2 linked regions of the Nothobranchius furzeri genome follow. The protein of the gene in region 1 interacts with the protein of each later gene in a biochemical or structural test. Links are inferred from orthologs where the notes say so. Each region holds a gene or a part of one and is shown on either strand. Other genes may lie near its edges.

The links. The genes of interacting proteins can lie anywhere in the genome.
Region 2: of the proteins of nlk2 (region 1) and lef1, one has a biochemical effect on the other in vitro, tested with the Homo sapiens proteins (4 studies listed by BioGRID). The link is inferred for Nothobranchius furzeri from reciprocal best matches to the Homo sapiens genes NLK and LEF1.

Annotation. Positions count from the first base shown.
Region 1 is NC_091753.1:61,331,438-61,335,189, forward strand, and holds the start of nlk2 (serine/threonine-protein kinase NLK), read right to left. Parts: upstream 2,325-3,752; 5' UTR 2,095-2,324; coding exon 1,646-2,094; intron 1-1,645. UniProt on the Homo sapiens protein: Serine/threonine-protein kinase that regulates a number of transcription factors with key roles in cell fate determination. Positive effector of the non-canonical Wnt signaling pathway, acting downstream of WNT5A, MAP3K7/TAK1 and HIPK2.
Region 2 is NC_091746.1:81,763,072-81,766,823, forward strand, and holds the start of lef1 (lymphoid enhancer-binding factor 1), read right to left. Parts: upstream 2,242-3,752; 5' UTR 2,072-2,241; coding exon 1,874-2,071; intron 525-1,873; coding exon 458-524; intron 1-457. UniProt on the Homo sapiens protein: Transcription factor that binds DNA in a sequence-specific manner. Participates in the Wnt signaling pathway. Activates transcription of target genes in the presence of CTNNB1 and EP300.

The sequences.
Region 1 (3,752 bases):
GAGGTTTTCTTATTTAAGCCTAATCCCAATACTCCCACTTCCACACTTAATGCCTTTCAATTGTGCGATCCCAGCCAGGGTGCGTAGGGTGTCCCGACTCAAGTGAGGAAGTTGATAACACCCTTTTCGCATTCTTGATCCGCACTTCACTCAAGTCTACATCGATGTGGACTTGGGCGAAGGGTATTACGCACAATCTTGCTGTAGGAGAAAAGGCTCAAGTGCCTTTCCTGAAAATGTATATTTTCAAATGAAAGTTGTTCTTTTTAGGATGGTTAATTGGTGCTCTGAAAGTTTTAGACAAAGCAGTAATGAATTTTAAGTTATGTCAAATAAGTGTTTGTTTAAAAAAAACTTTTAACAACTTCTAAAGTGGCAGAGCAACCAGCTTCCCGGCACGCACTGCGGTCAATGACGCAACGCTCTTTGTTCCAATTTGGCATTTGTACTACGCACTCGAAGCCTTACTGCGCACTTCCTCCAAGCGCACTTCACATAAGACCTTATTAGGGTGCAGTGCAAGTATTGGGATTGGGCCTTAGGAACATTTCCATGTACAAGTAAAACATTTGTTCCACACAATGAGCAAATTATAGGTCCTACGCATGAAATACACACAGGTCTGTGCATAAATACTGTGCAATCGGAAGGTCGCAGGTTCGAGACCCGCTCGGTCTGCCGCTGTCGTTGTGTCCTTGGGCAAGACACTTAACCCACATTGCCTGCTGGTGGTGGTCGGAGGGACCGGTGGCGCCAGTGCTCGGCAGCCTCGCCTCTGTCAGTGCGCCCCAGGGCAGCTGTGGCTACATTGTAGCTCATCCCCACCAGTGTGTGAATGTGTGTGTGAATGGGTGAATGACTGGTTGTGTTGTAAAGCGCCTTGGGGGGTTCCAGGACTCTAGAAGGCGCTATATCAAATACAGGCCATTTACCATTTACCATTTACCATAAAAGAGGCCCCAGGACTTATCGTACCCAGAGTACAACTTACAAGGCATTTATTACTAGAGACCACTGCAAATGTAGTGATTAAACGAGTGAACCACACCTTTAAAGATTAATTTAAATACGGAGGCCAAAACAGCACATGAAGGCACAATGCCGTCCATCAGCCAGTCTGCATAAGCCAACCTGAGCAATCACATCCAAGTCAAAGCCACAACACGTGAAAGCATGAAGAGGAACTGCTTTAAAGAGAAATCCGATTTTCTGAAGCAGGCTTCTATTTTTCCAGCTTCACCTTATCCTATTTTATTGTTTCACTTTATGATTAAAGTGAGTTATGGCTATAAATGAAAGCTCAGCCATGGTGAGTTCAAGGACCAAGAAAGATTTTCTAACTCCCTGCTTGGCAAATGTGCATTCAAGTATAAAAAATGAGAACATGATTTTTAAGTTCTGGATTGGCGGATCGATCCCAGCTGATTCCTTCATGCATCTCTGTCATAAGGGTTTAAAACAACTTTTGCATTACCAACTATTTTTAGAATCCTTGTCAGATAGTAGAACTGACCCAACTCAGCTGTCCTGCCAGAACTAATTTCTCCAAGCTGAGCCAATTGAGAAGCTCAGAACTATTCCTTTAAATGGTTCCCGTGGTTTGGATCCGTTCTCCTCATGTAGATAAAAGGTCACCAGAACTCACCAGACCACCCCAAACGCGCCGTAGCCAATGGGCCTGTCGGGCTCCACATCCAGCTGCTGCACATGGTGAGCGTTCTGCTGCTGATGGTGGTGGTGAGCTTTGACAGCTCCAGCTGCTGCAGCCTGAACCTGTGCGGGAGCCGTGGCCAACGCGGGTCCCGGAGCTTGTCCAGGGGCAGGGGAGGGGAAGTAAGGCTGCTGCTGGCCGGGATTCAGCATCACTGCTGCGGCGGCAGCTGTGGACGTGTGCTGCTGCACCGTGTGAACGGCGGCAGCGGAGCCCGGGTGCTGCAGTTGGTGCTGGCCCGCATGGTGGTGGTGGTGGTGCATGTGGGGAGGTGGAAGGTGCTGGAGCTGGTGGTGGTGATGGGCAGCCACCGCTGAGGAGCCACCGTTGTAAGCAGCCATCATTTTGGGAACATTGGTAGCAGTTGTTCCGCACAGAGCCATTCACCAACGCCTGTTTGACCGGATGATGATGATGATGATGATGATGATGATGGCTACAGCACTAATTAAACTAAACAAAATCATAAAGAGGAGATCTGGTGCTTAAATTATCCAACCACGTTGATCCTTCATGGGGACAAAAACATCTGAAAGAGTCTCTCTATCATAATGCCAGCGAGGATCCGACCCGATGGTGTTAAACAACTTCCGTTCTTCTGGTGCACCATCAAGTAGTGAGATCCTCACATGTCGCTGACATGCACAACGACCAGAGTCTAGAATCTGAGCGCCATGATTAAAACAGTCAACAGAACCGAGCCCAGAACCCCCTCAGCAGATAAATTCGGTGGCCCTCGACGTCCCTCATGGCAGAGGCGGCTTCCCCGTCTTGGTAGCGAAGTGCGATCTAGATCCTGTCACATGGGAAGCACGGCACTCATCTCTGAGAGGAGCCAAGTTTTCCTTAAATCCTTCCCGCATAGGGGGCTTCGGTCGGCTTGGAAACCGCATCTACCGTCCCAGACGGACTCCTCTTCCGATGTGTGCCCGGGCAAAGCAGCAATTAGGTAAACAGCGGTGATTTCCAGGCCGTGATTAACGCTGCAGATCCGGTGCAGAGGGGGTGTATCACGGCAGAGGCAGGCCCAGGCCAGCGCCATTCACTTCAGTCTCTCAGAGCTGCGCGCCCTGACAGAACCCCCATCACGATCCTCCTGCTGGGTCACGGAACTGCCACCATTAGCCAGGATTAAACAGCAGGGACTCTCACGCGCAGCTAACAGGCAGTAAACTTGACTCCCGGCGACAGCCTGGTGTTCAGGGTGCTCCGCGGTGTCCTCCGGTGGCTCTCATGCCTACACATCCAGAGAAGACCCAATAACACCGCTAGGGAGAGTCCGGGCTCTTTTCCTGCGGGACTAATTACCTTGAAACCACTGATGGCTATTCAACCTGACAGCTCGGAGCTAGCTAACGGACAGCCGCGTCCCCACGTCCCGGGTTCGGTCCGTCTCACAGCCACCAGCCGAGGGCGAAGAAAGCAGCAGCTCGGACCTCCACGCTTCGTCCAAATGACACGAAACTAATCACAGAGCTGAGGAGCCGAGCAGCTCATCAAACATGGTGCACACAGTCGTAGCTACTCGGCGGTGAGATTATTCAGAGAAGCCAACCAATCACCTGTCGTACCGCTATGACGTAGTCGTCATGTCGTGATTGGCAGTGCGCTCAGCCAATGGGTGATCGCGCAAAGTGAAGCTGAGCGGACCTGGTCATGACAACACAGATGCGCTATTTATAAACATCGGCCGTGTTCGAGAAGAGCCAGTTCTGCGCAGATTAGATCACCGGTGATTGGCGCGCAGTGCATGCCGGTTAGATTTGTCCGACTTGACGCCGACTTGCTCTGACGTCATGCATACGTACGCAACGATAACCTCGTGAGATCAAGGCGCTGCAGTTGCTCTCCACCGGCTGCTAAACCTAGGGCATGATGGGAAACGCCTGGCTCTCACCTGATCTAAGATCTGATTGGTTCACATTTTGATCCAAACATCCGGTGGTAGAACATGAAATGTTAGTTGGTCACATGTATTCTGTAAATCATGTTACGTTGATGATGACAATTATGTAGGCCATGAAGAGAAATGTGTTTTGTG
Region 2 (3,752 bases), on another chromosome or scaffold:
GAGCAACGAGTCCCAAGGGGGCAGCAACATGTTGATGTGACAGCACGGCCGGAGAGCTGATGGACAGGAGGGCGGGTTTCACTGGGCCATTAGAAATAACCAGACTTCACATGGGATTTTACGGTCTGTAGGCATTTGAAAACACAAAACAAATCAGATAGGGGCGGATTTTCCTGATTTTATTTGGAGTATCTTCTTTTTTTCCCCTCCCTCTGTGCAGGCACCCTCATCTCTGCAGTAGGTAAGAGGGAGCTGTGTTTATGAAGGAAGCATGTCCTGACTAGACTTGGATCAGAAAAATCAGAACACGAGAAAAAAAAATTACAGCATAATCACTTCTGTTCGTTCCCCCTTAGCCTCGTTTCTAATCCTGCTGGGGACCATTCGAAGAATCTGGAGGGTTTTGAGCTAAACGGCATGCTGATGAAACTCCGTAGCTCAGGGCTGTGTCACTTACCATCTTCTGGATGGTCTCTGTGTTTGTCGTGGTAGGAATCTTGTGATATTTGGGACTGTCTAGCTGCCTGCAAAGGAGAAAACGTTGGTGAATCAACCATTAAGGCCTCGAAATGCAGTTACACACTCAGACATGTCCAAAACACACACACACACACACACACACACACACACACACACACACACACTCACAATTAGCTGCAGAGGGGAGACAGCCGCCTTCATCAAAGCTCCAGAAGAATTACTTAATTAAGCTTCATGTCCTTAAGGAGCTCACAAATTAACTTGTTTTCATCAATACCTTTAGGTAACTCATCTTCATCCGAGTTCAAGCATCTTTTTATTCATATAAATGCAGTATATTAATGTTATGAATTAAAAACACATGATGGAGAATAAAAGTGAAAACCATAAAGACAGAACATGTTGGACTTCCTTCATCTTCTCAGATCTAAAACAACTAAATCGGATTTAGTTATTTTCAGATTTTTATTTTGGACCTCCTCAGGATGACTTCAAGCTGAGCAAAGGAACGTCACCGGAATCCTAATCAACACTTCCTCTCACATTTCTGGGGATTTGGTGATCGCTGGCAGAACTTTCAGAGTAAAAGCCTGAGTTCCTGCTTAGGTCAAAGCATCCAAACGAATCAAAACACACATTCAATTCAATGTTCCCCCAATGTTAAAATCATTAAACATCAATGAAGATTAAATACCGAGGTAAATCAGTAATTTAAAAAAATAAATTTAAATTATTATTATTTGTTTTTTACTTAGATCAAGAAAATAAATAAAATCAAACATGGAATTGTAATTTAAAGACACCATCTGAATGATGGGAAAAAACAGCAGGCAGAATCAGCAGGAATATAAAAACAAAATCATCGTTCAGGTTAAATCAATAACAATTTAAACCAGGTGTGCTGTCTGGATTGATGTTCTGGGGCAGCTGAGGGTGGACCATGACCACACAGCAGCCTGCCTGTCACAGGCTGCTCACCAGGCCCGATCACACCTAAACATATCTTCAGATGTCTCATTTCACATCAATATGTGTGCAGATTTTACAGCTGGATATTTTTACTTTAGGCCTCGGCTTACATCGGCCTGTAGGCTGCAGAGCCATGCCTCTTTAGAGCAGCAGGTGGTGGCGAATTAGGTGGTTTTCAATGTTAGATTAAAGAAATTAAGCAGAGCCAAGCATGTTTTCTAAATTAGAAATTACTGGTTAATTAGTGGCTTTGTTCGGGTTTTTATGTGAGTAAAATCATGTCAAAACGCTACTTAGCTGATTATTCAAGTTAGATAAACGTCTTTAAACGTTTCCAAACGCAGTTTCTGCCCTCTGATGAGAGTTTTAGCATCCTCCCGCATCAATCAGCGTGCGTGCGTGCGTGCGTGCGAGCAGGACTCACGTCGTGGCTGTTGCTGTTGGGGCTGCTCTCAGACTCGTGGACCAGAGAGGACTTGATGTCTGCCAGGTCTCCCTCCTCCTCCGAGTGGCTCAGTTCGGCGAAGATCTGCTCCTTGTGCGGGTCTCCTTCGTCTTTGAACGGGATCATTTCGTCCGTGGCGCAGAGCTCCGGGTCTCCGCCGCCCGATAGCTGAGGCATGATGCCCGCTGGAGGTGTGGGCTCGTTAGGATTCACCACCGGTGCAGGCGGCGGAAGGTCAACTCCCACCGAGAAGAGAGAGCGCGCGGCTCGGAGGCTGCGGACACGCTGCTGGTGTGTGTGTGTGCGCGCGCGCGCTTAGGCTGAAGCAACAGGAGGAGAGAGGAGTCTTCACTGTTCAACTACACGGAAAGATGAACAGGACCACAACGAGTCACGTGGGTGAAATAATCAAAAACAAACTCATTTAAAAAACGTTCCGTGAAAAGAGCCTCGAATAAAAAGTTTGAACAAATTATTTCCTTTGAGGTCCGGCGAAGCGGCTGCTCAGGTCCTGCGGAGTTAAAAACACTAGTGAGTCGCCTTAAAGAAACCAAAAAAGCGTCTGGAGGTGAAAGTGGAGGAGAGGAAACGGACTTTTAACACTTCAGCGACAAGCGAGGCGACACACCGCGGCGGCGCTTCGAGTACATCCTCACCCAGCTGCTCAAATGAGGAGAGATGAAAGCAAAAAGAAGGGAAACAATCAAAAAGCAGAAGCCTGAGAAGGGAAAACCGCCGTGGACTGACTTCCCTCTGCACCCGCAGCGTTTCCACAGTGTAATGTAACCAGTGCGTGTGTGTTGGTAATGTAGCTGCTCCCTCCTCCTCCTCCTCCTCCTCTTCTCCCTCCTCAGTCACTGGGAGGAAGGAGAGATGAAAGGGAAGCCGAGGCTCTGATTGACACTCCTCCTGAGAGAGCTCCCGACAAATGGCCAGACAGGAGAGGAGAGGAGGCTGACGCGCTGCGTGCGTGATGGCTTAAACAATTAGGAGGAATAAAAATGGAAATAGAGGGAAAACAGACGCGTCTGGGCTTGTTTGGCAAACTGTTGTAAATGTTAGATTGGACAAAAGTTGGATTTTTAGGGGGAGACTCCCCACTTGGAGCGCTTTGATGAATGATCTAGAGCCTAATTTGTCAATAAAAGCATAAATCCAGCAGAATTAATAACCCCAGCAAGACTTTTTGTATAATTTTGCTTTTTATTATCATTGCTTCAATCTTGAAGCTGATTGCCCCTTTTAACCCAAATAGTTCATTAATACATGTTGCTCCCGCAATAAAAAGGCTAAAAACAAACACAATGCTATAATAAATGATCTACCAAAAATAGTTTTCTGTTCTTTTTTTAGAATGTCGTTTAAAAATCCCAAATGTATTTCTTAATGCGGGAAAACTTGTTTTAAAGATGATTATGTATAGTCGCTAAATATGTTTCTAAAAAAGTTAGAGATTAAAAAACACGCAGATTAAAATAAGTAAGTAGAAAGCGGTGAAAGTTGCGTGTTTTCTGTGTCTGAGATTGCGTGAGAATCGGGAGTCGGGATGTGGAGGCAGATCTTTATAAAGCGCGTAGGTGGGGTTAGCGGGGCGGAGCCGCGGCTGCCTTTGATCTAGCGGCGGCTGGCTCTTTCATCCCCCCCTTCCTCCCGCTTCCTCCCCCCTTTCTCTCCCCCCCTTTGCCTTTGTATGACTAAATTTGGTCCGAGCGTGGAGTCGAGCCAACATTTCCACGTGTGCGTTCATCCCAGCTGAGAGGGGGGAGAAACTGAGAGGGGTGAGAGAAGGGGGTTCTCTTCCGGGTAAGAAGTCGGCGAGGAAAAAAAAAAGATCAAAGACTTTTGGGTTTTAGAAGCT